Lonchura striata: one gene and its partner. The protein of the gene in region 1 binds, or shares a complex with, the protein of each later gene. Links are inferred from orthologs where the notes say so. Each region holds a gene or a part of one and is shown on either strand. Other genes may lie near its edges. The genes, in order: BDP1 and BRF2.

The links.
Region 2: BDP1 (region 1) and BRF2 share a complex: the UniProt entries of both Homo sapiens proteins name them as parts of the TFIIIB complex. The link is inferred for Lonchura striata from reciprocal best matches to the Homo sapiens genes BDP1 and BRF2.

What each region holds. Positions count from the first base shown.
Region 1 is NC_134642.1:47,132,480-47,139,905, forward strand, and holds the start of BDP1 (transcription factor TFIIIB component B'' homolog), read left to right. Parts: upstream 1-4,225; 5' UTR 4,226-4,245; coding exon 4,246-4,415; intron 4,416-7,426. Other genes in the region: SERF1A (small EDRK-rich factor 1), read right to left, coding at 353-461, 3,622-3,628. UniProt on the Homo sapiens protein: General activator of RNA polymerase III transcription. Requires for transcription from all three types of polymerase III promoters. Requires for transcription of genes with internal promoter elements and with promoter elements upstream of the initiation site.
Region 2 is NC_134634.1:4,325,569-4,333,585, forward strand, and holds the start of BRF2 (transcription factor IIIB 50 kDa subunit), read right to left. Parts: upstream 3,262-8,017; 5' UTR 3,250-3,261; coding exon 3,096-3,249; intron 2,536-3,095; coding exon 2,476-2,535; intron 2,267-2,475; coding exon 1,945-2,266; intron 937-1,944; coding exon 1-936. Other genes in the region: RAB11FIP1 (rab11 family-interacting protein 1), read right to left, coding at 6,576-6,794, 7,672-7,777. UniProt on the Homo sapiens protein: General activator of RNA polymerase III transcription. Factor exclusively required for RNA polymerase III transcription of genes with promoter elements upstream of the initiation sites.

The DNA of each region.
Region 1 (7,426 bases):
GCAGACAATTTACTTGATTAGTGGACCTGATATAATTATTTTGATTTTAGAAGTAAAGGACATAATGGATCAAATATCTTCAAGAAAGCATTACACAATCTTTTCCTGTTTGCAGTAGGCAAAAAGCTGGTCAAAAAAATGAGAAAGCTTTACAGGATGTAATAAAAATACATCTGTTTAATAGCAGATACAGCAAAATTTAATCCACAGTTTATGCTCTGGCAAGTGATTAGCCAACAAATAAAAACAAAGCATTCAAATGCTGTGTCAGCTAAGACACTGGATTCTTTCTCACCCATGTCCCTCTCTCCTTTTTCAGCCTAAACATTTACTCAATTTTTCTAGACCTTACCTCTGTTTCCTCTGAGAAGCAGACAAGCTATCTTCTTTCCTTTTGCCTTTGTGGATCTCCTGAGTTTTCTTCAGGTTCTTTTGGCGAGCAAGTTCACGCTGGTTCCCACCTGCAAGATAATATAAACAAGTACTACCACTTGTTTTTTCCCACACAATGTACTTGTATAAAAGTCTGTTGTAAAGGCAGTGCAGTTTGGCATAATGTATAGAGCTGGTATGGCCATATCTTCTATCTTGGTGTCCTCTCCCAGTGTACAACAGGAGAAATTAAAGGCTCATAGTTGTTACTTTTTCAATTCTATGTCATGTTTAAGAAATTACCAAAATTCTAATATTCCTTACAGAAACAAAATGTAGTTTGTCATAAAAGGCTGAAGGAAAACCATCACACCAATAGGCTGGACAAAATCATCCAAAGACAAGTCATCCACTCTGAAACACATTCCAGCATTCAATATAGCTTACAAATTATTTTAGACTGAAAGAACAGCATTGAAATTGACTGCACTCAAATACTATTGAAGAGATGACCTCAAAAGGTTTTTTTAATTTGAAATACAGTACAGAACATAAGCCTGGGCCTTAGCAACTGGATGGTGGTGGCATTACTTCCAACAAAAGTGAGAAGAGTAACATTACTTCTTTATGCATATCAAGACACAAACCCACATGACTGTCAGCAGAGAAGACACTTCTTCAGGGAACAGACAGCTTTCCCCACAACTAACTATCAACAAGAGGAAAGCAAGCTCTTTGATCACACTAAGTTCCCGAGGGCACAACATCAAATTATCGACTCTCCATCTAAATACTTAGGGTCTTCAGGCAATGGCCACAGACTGCAAACTCTTCTGCATTAGCTGGCAATCTCTCCTCAGTATTCCCTTCCTTTGCTCTATTTTGCACCTGCCAGACCTGGTTCACTGGCTTGGTACTACTTCTTCTAGTTCTTTTGGAGTGACAGTGTTCCAGATATGCTACACATAATCATTTGTTCTGTTGAACTAACACAATCACATTCTTTTATACTCAAAAATTACAATTCCCTCTCTTCATAATTTTTTGTCTCTCTAAATTAGTTTTAAGACTGTCTGGGCCATCTTTCAGTCTCAAAGGCAGCAATCTCAGCCTTGAGGTGCCTGTCATTTCTGGTCTACCACTGCTTCTTAGGAATAGGCCACTTTTAAACAACAACAACCTGCTGGTATGATCCACCACTTTGTACCCACACCATTTCTGAGCAAAGGTACCTCAAGATGAACTCTGCAGAAGCAGGGGTTTGTGCATTCTCCACAAGAGCCTATGGACTGCCTGATAAGACATGCCAGAAGCTCAAGTAAAAACAGTCCTGTATGACTGCTGCTTCCCAAAAGATGCTCTTGTATTGGAAGATAACTTTTGTCTGTGACAGGACATTAAGTACTACCTCTTGGAAAAGGTAGAGAACTAAGACAACTTCTACTCACGATCCTCACTAGCATCCTGTCCCCAAAGTCCATCTAGAAGAAGGGCAGCTGTCTGTTCAGAGACTGAAGCAAACCAGCTGTCTCTGGCAGTACTAGTGTTGATTAGAACTTGATGACTCATGAGCAGATGACACATTCCAGGCCATAAATGGCTCCTGAGATTTGTGGTGCTCAGGAGGCAAGAACGTTATATGAAGGACTGGGGAGCAATGAAAGAACTTTTCTACAGTGCTTAAAAAAAAAAAAAAAACCCAAAAAAAAAAAAAAAAAAAAACAACACCACCAACAGCCCCAAAACAAAAAATCACCCCAAAACGAGAAGTATCTTCTTTTATCATGAAGAAAACAGAAACAAAATAAAAACAGTCTGCTAAAGCCAGAATTACCTTCAAAGACAAACACTTCCTTATGAGCAGTTAATTTCCACTCTTAAACTCCTATTTTTCCTTGTTTTCAAGCAAATAGTGAGCATGGGCTATGTAGAGTTTTTCCTTACACACGGTAAGGTTTTAAATTTAGGAACAGAACTCAGTTGTACCACTGAAAAGCAGGTAGCACAGCAAAGCAGAGAAGGTAGAAAAGCTGAGCAATATATAATGCATACAAACCACGGAATACCAAAAAACTGAAGAAAAACTTACTTCTACCATAAGTGCTTCCAAGTAAACATTGCCAAGGACTATTTGGCCCCATTACTTCATCTGGGATGCTGCATAAGTGTCCCTACCTTCAAGGGAACCACTGGCGTTTCCTACATTCTGTAATATCAAGCTAAATATTCTATGAAATTGTCCTAACAGAACACAATTCAGCTTCCTGAAATTCAAGCTTGAACTGCCACAAAAAGAGCAGTGCACTCTTCCTGCTTATACATTTCTATACATTCCTTCTCAACCATCCCATCCTGTCCTGCTTGTGCAAAACATAGACCTTACTTCAACCTGTCCTTGCTCTTCCAACTTCAGGAGAAGAAAAACGCCACGAAGAATCCTAAATGTGCTTCTTTATTACGTTCTATGCACAAACTTTGTGTTACAGGTCTTCAGCAGCAGTATGCCCTCATAACCGTGTATTTTCGAGATGAATTGAAAGCACAGCCTCAAAATTGGTTTTTTTCAAATGAATGTGAAAGCACAACCAAAATTAAACACGAGGATTTCCTGTACCGCCAGACATAACAGGCAGAAGGCACAGGAGCACTCCCCGCAGCCAGGGGAGCCAGAGCATCCTGGGTCACCTCTCCGCCATTTCAGAGCGGGTGTGCGAACACTGCTGTTGGTCAGCATTCAGCACGGTGGCGATTCACCGAGCGCTCTTGCCCTTTCAACAACAGCCTCAACCACCACAGGTTAAAGCAGCATAGTATTCAATATTCAGCACAGATAGTAAAGCCCTCTATTCTCAGACTGGGCGGCAGCCGGAAATGAAATGGAGTGTGGCTGTTGTTTCAGCCCAACATTACCTTAATTTCTCCCCCCGGTCCCGCCTCCACTGACACGCCAGAAGGCGGAGGAGGATGTTTTCCCCTCCAGCTTCGGAAGGCAGCAGGACATGGGAAAAAAACTCCTCCTCACGCACTCGCTACAGGCGACATTTCGCTGGTGGGACGCCAAGTCCGCAAAGAGCCGGACGCGACATTGGCCTCACACAGCGGCTGACTTCCATACCGCGGCCCAGGCACGACCCCCAGCCGGACCGCCCTCGGCGTCGCGCCCCACAGCTGGAACCGACCAGGAGGGCGGCTCAAGTCCTGTCGCCCACTTCGCCACCCGACAGTCCTAAACAGCTCCCCAGTACTCACGGGTCATAGCGAGACGCTCAGGCCGCGCAGCGCCGCTACGCCTCCGACCGCTAGCACCGGCCAAACTCGACCCTCCTCCGCCCCTACCACCGCAGCGGTCTGAGGCGGCGCCGCCGCCGCCGCACCTTATGGCGCCTCGCTGGCCGTGATGTCACGGCGCCGCGCGGGCCCGGCCCAATCAGCGGGACGCGCACCGCTGACCCCGCCCCGCGGGCAGGAGCCCTGCGAGGCTCGTGCTGCGCGTCCTGCCGGGCCCGAGTGTGAGGGGGAAGGGGGGGGGGGGGCTGTGGTGTGGCAGCCTGGGCTGGGGGCAGAGCGGGCGCCTGGACAGCTGCTGGGAGCCGGCTGAACTGGGGCCACGCGGCTGAGCAGTTGCTGGGGCCTTACAGGCGGCTACGGCGCCGTTACTGCTTCCCCGTAGAGGCTCCGCCTCCCGCCCCTCATCTCGCGATGGGTGCGGGCTGATGACGGTGCGGGGCGCGCCGCCGGGGCGGCACGCCGTGAGCCGGCCGGGCTCGCGGCACCCGCGGGCCCTCGCCGCCGCGCGCTGCTGACGCCGCCGAGCTCGCGGGCGGGCGCGTCTCCCGCGAGCGCCCGGCGCGCCCGTCTCCCGGAGCCGCCGCCATGTTCCGGCGGGCCCGTCTCACCGTGCGGCCCAACGTGCGCCCCCCGGGCAGAGCCGCCGCCGCTGGCGCGGTGGACCCCGAGCCGGCGGAACCCCCAGGCTCGGACACCCCGGCGGCGGACGGAGCAGGGACCGCGGCGGAATCGACGGGCGCGCGGCGGGAAGAGAGGTGAGTCCCGCCGAGCTCGCCCTAGCAGGGCAGTGTGTGGGGCCGCCGGCGGCACTGGGCCGCGGATTCCCGGGAGCGGGACGGGCCTGTGCAGGGCCGGACCCGGCGCATCCCCGGAGCTGGCGGTGGCTCTGCGTAGCGCCGGTTGTCGTGGCCCGTCGCCGCCTGGTTTCAGTGCTATGACAGGGCGCTGGCTCGGCCTGAAGACCTCGTGCAAGACGCGTACGGTCGGTGCCCGATGACGGCGTGTCCAGGGTTGTCAGACAATGTTGTTTGGCGCCTTCGTAGACTAAGAAACCGCCGTTTCTTCACTGCAGTTGTGCAGCAGGTGCTTGGAATAACATTGCATTGGGCTGCCCAGAGAGGTGGTGCAGTCACCATCCTTAGAGGTGTTTAAGGAAAGACTGGACATGGCATGTAGTGCTGTGGTCTGGTTGACAAGGTGGTGTTGAGTCATAGGTTGGACTCTACGATCTCGAGGTGTTTTCCAGCAAAATGGCTCCTGTGATTCTGTAAGTGAAGACTGCAAAGGAGGAACCCAGTGTGGTCCGATACTCCTTACTTCTAGCTCCACAGCAGCCAGGAGCCATGATTTGCTGTGTGCAGCAAAAATTCTTTGTGCTCTGTAACCAGATGAGTTTGATTTTGCATTCCAACAGCATTTTCTCTTTTGTGTTCATTTCTTTATGAATTGGCAAGGGAGGACTTTCCTTTTGGTTTTTTTTGAGTTAGTTTTTTTGCGGTTTTTTTGTGGGTTTTTTTTTTTTTTTTTTTGCTATTTTTAGAGGTTTTTAAGGGCTTTTTAATGTGATGGAAGCACATGGTAAAGTTGGCCTTAGGACTGGCTCTCCCTGAGGACCTCTCTGCTGTAGGTTAAGCCTAGCTGGTTACTAAACCCCGCACAGTTTATTGCTTGCTTCCCCACACCCCTGCCCCTCCCAGCCTGGTGGGATGGGCAGAAAATCAAAACGGCAAAAGTTCAAGAAAAGGTGTGTTATGATAAAGACAGTTCAATTACCTGGGCATGTAAGCAAAGCAGAACTGGGGATTCAGTCACCACTACCCACAGGTATTTAATTGTCTCCAGGAAAGAAGGGATCCATCACTCATAACAGGTACTTGGGAAGACAAATGCCATAACTCCAAATGTCCTTTCTTTCTTCTTCTCCTAGCTTTTACTGAGGAGCATGATGCCATATGCTGTGGGATAGCCCTCAGTCTTCTGAGATCAGCTGTCCTGGCTGTGCCCCCTCCCAATTTCTTTCTGATTCCCAGAATGGACAGCCATGGTGCATTGTGAGAAATAACCCTGGTGCTGCATGATCATTGCTCAGCATTAGCTGAAAGCATGGGTGTGCTGTCAGCACTGTTGTGTCACAAATCTGAAACAGCAACATCAGAGCTACTGTGAAGGAAGTTAATTCTGTCCCCACCAAAGGTAGTACAGATCAGTGTTTCAGGACATGTCCTTAATCTGATAATTGTTCTTCAGAACAACATTCACACTTCTTTTTTACAGTTGGGTTTGAGTCTTTCATAAATCCTTTTATTCTTTTAGTTGAAGGTTGCCCATTATGACAGTATGATGAAACAGTGTTAATGTTGTCTGTTTCTGTGGTTGGAAATTCAGGTGTCAGACTAGTTGGCATGGCATGTCTTTAGGAAACCCATACCATGTTTTATTCAATTGGTATTTTACATCTTTACTTGTTTTGCATTTTGTTTCAAGAGTGCCATTCTTTCAAGTTTTATTTATAAAATGTTTATGTTACAGGGATCATCTTACTGGATGTTTTGTTATCTGATTTTTTTAAAATGAAGAAATTTTTATGATTTTTCACTTAGATGCTACTGTTGTTGTTTCAGCAGATTTGTAAAAGACTTTTGTGTTCGTAATTTAACAGGTGCATCAGTGTAATATAATTTTAAGTTTCAAAACTAGGTATTGGTGTGACTCTGAAAGGCACTTTGATCTAGTTTCATGGTCTAAAAATAGGTCTTTGCCATATAGCCTTCTGACAGGGTAGCCCACCTAGCTGACCTGGGGAAACCAGTTCCTGTAATCCTTTTGGATTTCAGTAGAACTTTCCATATTGGCTCTCACACTATCCTTCCTTCTTGACAAAACATCCAGCACACACCTGGATGAACGCATCATGTGATGTGTGAGCAACAGGTTCATGGGTTGGGTTACAATGAATGGGTGACATCAGACTGGTGACCTGTCACTGGTGGGGTTCCACAGGGCTCCATCCTCTGCTCTTCAACAGCTTCATAAATGACTGGACACTGGTTTCGAAGGCATATTAAGTAAGTTTGGTACATGATACAAAATGGCCCTGCAGGGAGACCTCAACAAATTAAGAGGGCTGGGCAAACACTGGCCATATGAAGTTCAAAAAGGGAAAGTGCCAGATTCTATACCTGGGATGGGGCAACCCTGAATGTGTGGACAGACTGGGGAACAAATGACTGGAGGAAAATGACTTGAGGGTCCCGGTCAGTGGCAAGCTCAACATGAGTCAGCAGTGCCCTGGCAGCCAGAAGGGCGACCTGTGTCCTGGGGTGCATCAGGCAAAGCATCACAGCCAGGCAAGATTGTCCTCCTCTGCTCTGCCGTGGGGCTGCCTCACAGGCAGTGAGTGCTGGGGGCAGTTTTGGGTATAAGAAAAACATTGAGCTGTTAGAGAGCATCCAAAGAGGGGCAGCAAAGATGGTGAAGGGCCTTGAGGTGAAGTCAGATGAGGAGTGGCTGAGGTCATTTGGTCTGTTCAGCCTGGAGGAGACTTAGGGGAGACCACTTTGTAATCTACAACTTCTTCATGAGGGGAAGTGGAGGGGCAGACACTGATCTCTTCACTCACTGCTGCTCAAGTCTGTGTCTGTAGCATCAGTCACTTTACATTGTTTTATTTTCTATATACTGAATAAGTTTTGTTAATTATCAGGGAAGTGGAAAATTTTGTAAGAGAATTCTAATTTTTTAATATACTTTCTGTTAAATTTTATTT
Region 2 (8,017 bases), on another chromosome or scaffold:
ATCTCGCTGTCCGAGATGGGCTCGTCGCCCGTGAGGGCCACGGCCGGAGCGCTCGCAGCTGCCGGCCGCGGCCTCTTCCTGGGCCGCAGGAGGCAGGGAGGGAGCAGGGGCCTCAGGCTGCCCCCACGCTGCTGCTTCCCTGCTGAGGAACAGCCCTGCTGCTGTGCCACCGCAGGAGAGCTGGGGGGGCCCTGCCCTGGGCAGCCCTGGCCTGGGGAGTCCTTATTCACAGAGTCCTTATCCAGGGAGCCCTGGCTCACAGAGTCCTGCCCTGGGCAGCCCTGGCTCACAGAGTCCTTATCCAGGGAGTCCTGGCTCACAGAGTCCTGCCCTGGGGAGTCCTTATTCAGGGAGTCCTTATCTGGGGAGCCTGGGCTCACAGAGTCCTTGCCCGAGCACCTCTGGCTCCCAGAGTCTTGGCCTGGGCAGCCCTGGCCTGGGGAGTCCTGGCTCAGAGAGTCTTTATCCAGGGAGCCCTGGCTCCCAGAGCCCTGGCCCGGGGCCGTGTCCTGCTGGCCCTGCCCGTCCTGCTGGCTGAAGGCGCGTTTCAGCAGGAAGAGCCGGTGCTGCAGCAGGTCCCCGATGTGCTTCACCACCGTTCTCTTGTCCAAGCAGAAGGCACGCAGCCAGGAGAGCTGGGAGGCCATTCCCAGCAGGATGTCCAGCAGCTCGGCCAGCCGGAGGTGGGCCGGGGGGGGCAGGTCCACCCCTGCCAGGCGGCAGAACCGCGCCAAGGGGCAGCGCAGGCGCGGGCCGGGCCGCAGCGACTGCCAGGCCAGGAAGGCCGCGGCCGTCACCAGGGGCACGGGGTGCCGGCCGGTCACCAGCCACGTCTCGCTGGCCAGCTCCACGATGGCCAAGGTGCGGGCCAGCAGCTGCTCCTTGTCCTCCAGGAAGGGCGCGGGGACGCTGGCCGTGGGCTGCACCAGCCGGAAGCTGCGGGGGCGAAGGGGCTGTGCTCAGGGGTGTGGGATTTTTTAAATCAGAGGGGTTTGGGAGTGTTGTAAAAGGCAGGCTTTAGAGACAGCAGGATGGTGATTAGAGCTAAGCAGTAGCTATAAGATTTGTCAGCAGAACAATTATACAAGAAGTAGAAAGAAAGGATAAATAGAGCAATGGTCTGTGTATTAACACTTGGGTAGAATAACTCTAAGTTGTAGAAAAGTATCTCTGGTGAGATATTAAGAAGTTTTAAGCTTAATAATGGAGCTCTGTGCATTGTATCTTAAGGCTTATAAGTAAGTATTGTATTTGAAACCAGGAAGCATTATTTTAACCAAAGGTACGTGTGTTTATGGTGGTTAGGTAAAACTACTGTCATTATGTTTTTGTTTTGTGTGATTGGTCAAAAAGCTTTTAAAGCAAATTGTAATATTAAGTTCTTAGTCTGCTGCCTAGGATGTGAGCTGCTGGCACCTTCCCATTGCCATAATCATGTAATGAGATTGATGCTGGGAAATAAACAGCTCGAGATGTGTTCCACAGCAGTCCCGTCCCGTTGGTGATTTGTGCACAGCCCCCAGCCAGCGATAAGGGGGAGCCTCGGGGACAAACACACCCTGCTCCTGCCCTGGCTGCCACTCCTGGACACCAGGAGCAGTTTTTTATGGGAAGGGTTCTCTGGGGGAAGGGGTGGAGTCCCCATCCCTGGAGGTGGCACTCCGTGCTCTGGGCTGGGTGACAAGGTGGGCACCGGGCACGGGCTGGACTCAACAGCTTCAGAGATTCTTTCCAGCCCCAGAGATCCTGGATCCCATGATCCATGGTGCCCCCGAGCCCCCTCTGCCCTCTCCACACTGAGAATCACAGCCCAGGTGTGACATGGAGGGACAAAAGCCAGCCCAGCCTGAGCACACACCTGTGCCACAGCTCAGCCCTGCCCACGGCCACACCCCAGCCCCTCCATCCAGCCAGGCTAAACAAGGGCCCCAAAGCCCCTCTCACCTGTTCAGGTGCGTTGTCACCAGGTCTGCCAGGCTCAGGGCGGGCACCGAGAGCCCCAGCTCCCGCTGCAGGCTCAGGAAGACGCTGGCAAACAGCTCCTGCCGGGCGTAGAGCAGGGAGCACACGGTGCCCATGGTCAGGGGCCAGCGGTGCTGGCGGCACGCCACGAACACGCAGCAGCCTCCCAGCAGCTCCTTCTTCTCCAGGCTGACCAGGTGGAAGGCGGGGAGCTGCAGAGCCCTCTGGAAGTAGGACACGGCCATTTCCTCGAATACAGCCGGCAGCTGCAGCACCTTGCAGAGGTCCTGGACCCTCCGGATCCCTGCGGGGTCACACTCGGAGTGAGGAAGTCCAGCAGACAACACTCACCCAGCCCGAACTAAAGCCCCTCCCAGGCCCTCAGGGCAGGCAGCACCAAGTGCCCTCCCCCGGCTCAGCTCCAGGGGTTTGGGGCACTTTTTCACCACTAGAACCAGGTGAAACAACTGGAGCGGCAGGCAGAGAGGAGGGGGGGTCAGGAGCTGCTCTCACCTCGCTGCAGGCAGCGGCTCAGCTGCTCCTTCTGGCCAGTGCTCTGGGAATAGGCGACCTCTGGAAAACAGGGGTGGATCAGTCAGTCCTGAGGGGAATCCAGGCACAGAGACATGGATCTGGGGCCAGCAGATGCCCACAGAACCGGACTGCAACGACCAGAACTGTCTGAGGGCGCTGAGTTAGAGCAGCACAGGTAAAAGCGAGCTCTTGGATCTCCTCTGAGCTGGGAATTCCCTCCAGACAGAGCCAGGCAACGGCCTCGGGGCTGCCCCGCTGCCTTTAAAGCTCTTCTAAGAGATTTCAATGGGATTCTAATAATCTCTTTTGACAATAAGAGATCCTCCAGTTTAAATTCAAAGCTCATCACCGGCTCCAAGCCAGACCCTGTCCGGGAAGTGCTGCGGGTGTGCCCCGGGCTGGAAAACCCCGCTGGTGCTGGGGGATGGAGGGAGCGGGAGCGGCCGGCCTGAGCCGCGAGTGCCCGGCACGGCCCCTCCGAACACAGCTCGGGGAGCGCTTCGCTTCTCGCACCGGCTCGGAAAGGCCCAAACGAGCCGCGGACCGTCGGTCCTGCACCCCCACCCCGAGCGCGGACGCTCCCGGGTCCGGTGCCGCACCCCGCAGATGCTCCTCGTCGGTGTAGGTGGTGGTGAGGAGCCCCTCGGACAGGACGCAGCCGCAGGAGGCGCAGACCAGCTGCTGCTGCGCGTAGTGCGCGTCCTCCACCAGCGACGCCGACCCGCACTCGGGGCACCGGCCCCGCGCCGCCATCGCCGCCGCCGCGCTGGGGGAGCGCTGGGGCGGGCGCACCGCCAACAGCCAATAGCGGCGCGGCCCGCCCCGAGCCCACCAATAGCGGCGCGGCCCGCCCCGAGCCCACCAATAGCGGCGCCGCCCGCGGTCCGTCCCGGCGCCCGCCCGGCCGAGGCGCCGCCGGCGCGCGCTGCGTTCCGGCCGGGACGGCGGCCCCGGGCAGCGCGGGGAGCGGCAGCGGGGGGGCCGCGTCCTCCCGGCGGGGAACGGGAAGCAGCGCGGCGCGGAGCCCCAGGGCCCCCATGGCACCGGGGGGGCCGCGTCCTCCCGGCGGGGAACGGGAAGCAGCGCGGCGCGGAGCCCCAGGGCTCCCATGGCACCGGGGAGGCCGCGTCCTCCCGGCGGGGAACGGGAAGCACCGCGGCGCGGAGCCCCAGGGCCCCCAGGGCCCCCTCCCGTCCGCGGCGCAGCGCGAGGCCGGCGCTGCCGTGAGGGCAGAAACTCCCGGCGCTGCAGCTGCGGACCCGCCCGTCCGTCAGGCTCCCCCACCCCGCGAGGGGTTTGCAGGCAGCACCGGATGGCGCAGGGATGACAGCAGGCCGGAACGCCGGGAGCAGGATGAGCAGAGGCACGAGGAGGGGATAAAACCCTTCTAAACTCCAGAGCAAAGACACGGTGGCCAGAGCACTGCGTTTGAGGTGTCTTTATTGTAGTGTTCCGTAAAACCAAAAGGTGTCTAAAAACAGCAGCTGGGCTAAAAGCAGGGAGTACAAACAGGGAACATGCATTGGATCCTTCAATAATAAACAATACATTTGGTTCTTAAGGCCCTTGAGGATGTAAAATGCCAGTCCCCTCACACCAAAGGCTTTAACGAGTGTTGACAATATAAACGAGGCTGGAGGGCTGGGCGACGTTTTTGGGGCTGGGCAAGTGGAGAACTGTGAGCCCCCCGTGCCCCAGCCATGGGTCTGCTCAGGGAGAGGTGCCACAGCTGCAGCCCCTGGGACAGAGGAGCCCTGGGGAGCTGGCACCCATGGCTGGGGCTGCCACGGCACCCACGGGAGCTGGCACCCACGGCTGGGGCTGCCACGGCACCCATGGGAGTGACACCCATGGCTGGGGCTGCCACGGCACCCACGGGAGCTGGCACCCACGGCTGGGGCTGCCACGGCACCCATGGGAGTGACACCCACGGCTGGGGCTGCCATGACACCCATGGCTGGGGCTGCCGCTGTCCCAAGCATTAAGGCTTCGTCTCTGCTAAGAGCATAACATTATTTCTTTTATGAACAATAATATTATTTATTGCTTTGGTTCTGTGCAGGTCACTCTTCCCAGCGGAGAAAAAATCTAAAATACAAGTTTATCAGTGAGGTACAGGATCCTCTGTCCAGAGATCCACAGAGGCACGAGGAGGAAACAAATCAATCCTTCATCTTCCTCGCTCGAGAAGGCACAGGAGGCAGCAGCAGCTCCAGCAAGGCCAGGCACAGCACTCAGAATGAAACCACCACCAAGGCTGCCTTCACTCAGAGCAGAGGGCACAGCAGAAAGCAGAGAACGCCCTCACTGTTCAAATAACACTAAAATGAGACAAAAGTACCTGAAGTCTTGCAAGACTCAGCTCCTAAGGCTTGTTTGAGGTCAGGCTGCCCATGAGGGACAGCTCTGCCAGTAAAGCTCCAGACTTTGGTAGCAGGGATAACCAGGATAAAAATGCCATTACAGAATTTCTTTGATTTTTCTAATAAATGTTTACATCTCTGTGCAAATCTATCAAACTGCTCCTCACTACATAATACAGCATTTGAGATCTGCAGTGGTGTGTGACATTGTAAGCAGACTGCTCACAGGGTGAGAGTCCTTCCAGCTGCTCCAGTCCCTCAATAAAGTGCTTTCCTGTAGAGAAATGGAGTTAGAAACTCACCCCTGAGCCAGGAGTGACCCAATAACCCAACAACTTCCAAAGGCAGGAGTGTTTATTTCCATAGAATTCGGGCTGGAAAGCTTGAAGCTTTGCTCCTCATGAAGCTTTGGTCCTTTGCAGGGCTCTGTTGGTTTTCCAGTTTCCCTCTAAGCCTTTCATGGACTCTTCCTGCCCTGGCAAATCCCAGGGGTCCCAAAAGGCATCTGCTGTTTTGGTCTCTGCCAAGAGCTCAGCAAACAAAGCTCTGTTCAGTCTGCAGCAGGGGAAGCTGTGCTGGCTGCTCCCCCAGCCTGACTGAGGGGATGGGGAGAACTCCCCTGAGCCCACCAGGACCCCCAGAGCTCTGGGCTGTGCAGCACCCCCAGCCTGACTGAGGGGATGGGGAGAACTCCCCTGAGCCCACCAGGACCCCCAGAGCTCTGGGCTGTGCAGCACCCCCAGCCCCCTCAGCCACTCAAGACTCTCCTCCCCAGGGAGCAGCAAGGAGCCAGAGCAGGGGGGAGCCCCAGCCCTGCCTGCACTGACAGCAGGAGCACTGCAAGGCTCCTCACCTTGGGAGGGCCCTCAAGGTGAGCCCCAGCTCCAAACCCCAAGGAATTTCTGTTCCCTCCGTGCAGTGTGAAAGGGAAATGGTCACAGAGCTCCCACGGGGCACAAAGTGGGAGAGCAGAGCACAGGGCAGTCTCTGCCCGCTCTGAACAGCCTCCAGAGCAGAAATTTAAGACACTAAGAGCAAAACTTCTGATTTAAAATGTACCTCAGGCCTAAATCCATTGGTGCCATTCCTGTGGTAGAAACGTACCGTGGACCTCAATGTCTCCTACTCCAAAAAACCTGTCAACTTTCCCTTGAAGGACTCTTGGGAATGTCCACTCGATGAGATGAACTGAGATTTGGTCAGCTTATGGTCAACTTTCATTCCTTTCAAATTACAGCCCAGGTCCGAAGCTGGGCCATCTTTGGACTTATCCAGTGTAGTTAATTATTATTTTAAAAACAATCAAATCCTCAAGCTCTACTGTACAAGGATTCATATTGCACTACAACTTCAGATGTGGAAAAAAAAGTAACTGATCTCTAAAAGCTGCTACAAAACAAAACCATTTAAAAAAATCATCCTAAAGGATCATCAGCGCCTTGCTGGGAAGCAAAACACAACAAAAACCCTCCTCCTTCCCATCACAACCAGTCTTTGGATTAATGCCTGACCTCCCCAAATAATGGGAAGGAAAAAAAAAATAAATATGGTAAGGTGACTGCATGACAACACCTGATGGAACTATTAATCAATCAAGGGTTGCTCAAGGCAGAAACAGGAAAAGGTCATTTTCTGTGAGCAGCACACCCAGCACCACCAGCTCCTCACCCTCCTCTGGGGGAATTCAGTCCTTGCCCACCGACGCCCCCAGACCCTTCACATCTTCCCAGCTTTTCTGTTGCCAGACATGGAAACACGGAGGATGTTTGGGGTTTCTTCCATGACTCTGACAAGCAGGTTGTCGATGTAGTCCTCGAGCTCCCGCACCTGGAGGTCCTTCCTGGTAATGGTATCCTTCTGTTTCAGCACCAGCTGGATCAGCTCATCGTGTGTCAGCTGAGCATAGGCATAGGCAGGGTCTGAGGGATCGTATTTCTTGGGAGGGAGGGAGGGAAGGCAGGGTCAGAGCAGGCACAGGACATTCCAAACCAGACACACAACACACAGACCAGCACGGTGACAGCTGCTGCCAAACAAACCTGGTAAAGCTTAAAACAGCTGCTTCAGTGCACTCTGGGAAAGCCAAATTCATGGTAAACAGCACAAAATGCCCACCCAGGCCTTTGCTGTTTCTTCCCATTCCTTTGGAAAATCTGGTTTTAAACCTCACACAGCATGAGAGGTACTGGGCAGCTTCTGCTGATTCCTCCAGCTCCCAGAACACTGCCCAGGCAGGGAGAGTGAGCACAACAGGCCCCCGTGGGGCATCGCACACAATTTAGGTGGAATCAGAACACCACAACACCCACTGCAAGTTTTCAACCCCCTTGAAACAGCAGCGTGGCAGTTTGAATCACTGAACTCCCATCCCCTCCCCTCTCACCAGAAGGAGGCACTGCTGTTATTTCAGTTCTAACTTCCCTATTTCCCAAAAAAACCCTGACAGACCATAAGGGGAGCCGTGATTTTCCCTGCTGACCCGGGGATGCTCCCAGCCTTTCGGATCAGGGAAGCTGTGCCTCAAGCCTGGAGGTCTCTCTTGAGACCAGGATTATGCTGAGAGCTCCTCTCAGTCCCAATGCTGACCCAGCTGCACGACTGTGCTCCAAGGAAGTGGCTGTGCCTGAGAAGCGCCCCCAAAAACACGAGCCCGGCTCTCTTATAGGTCAGTCTGCAAGAAAATAAGCATTTAAGGAACGATCCCACTCTTGAGGGCTGACCAAAAGGATGTTCCTGGCCCAGCTATCTGGAATACACAAACTCTTCAATTAAATCAAAGCTTGGGCAGTCAAAGTGCCACTTCCCTCCATACCTTCACACTCATTTCCAGCAGCTTTTCATTCATGGTGCTGATGACATTCAAGTTCTTGCTCTGAGGCTTGTTAGCCATGGCATTCATTGGCTTCACAGGATGGAGTCTGCAACAGGAAAAAAAGGGTCCTGCTGTTCAGGCAGAAGAGGTAACAGCAGCATGACATAGATCTTTAGATTGAGAACAAATACAGCAAGAAATTGGGGACAATTCCCTCCCTGCTCTATGTCCTGACAGAAAAGAAATTCAGTTTAAAGAAGACAAGGTATTTCTAAGCCACAGGGGTTTTGTAAGTATTTTCCAGTTCTCTACTATCTTTATTGACTTAAGGCATTGGAGATAAAGC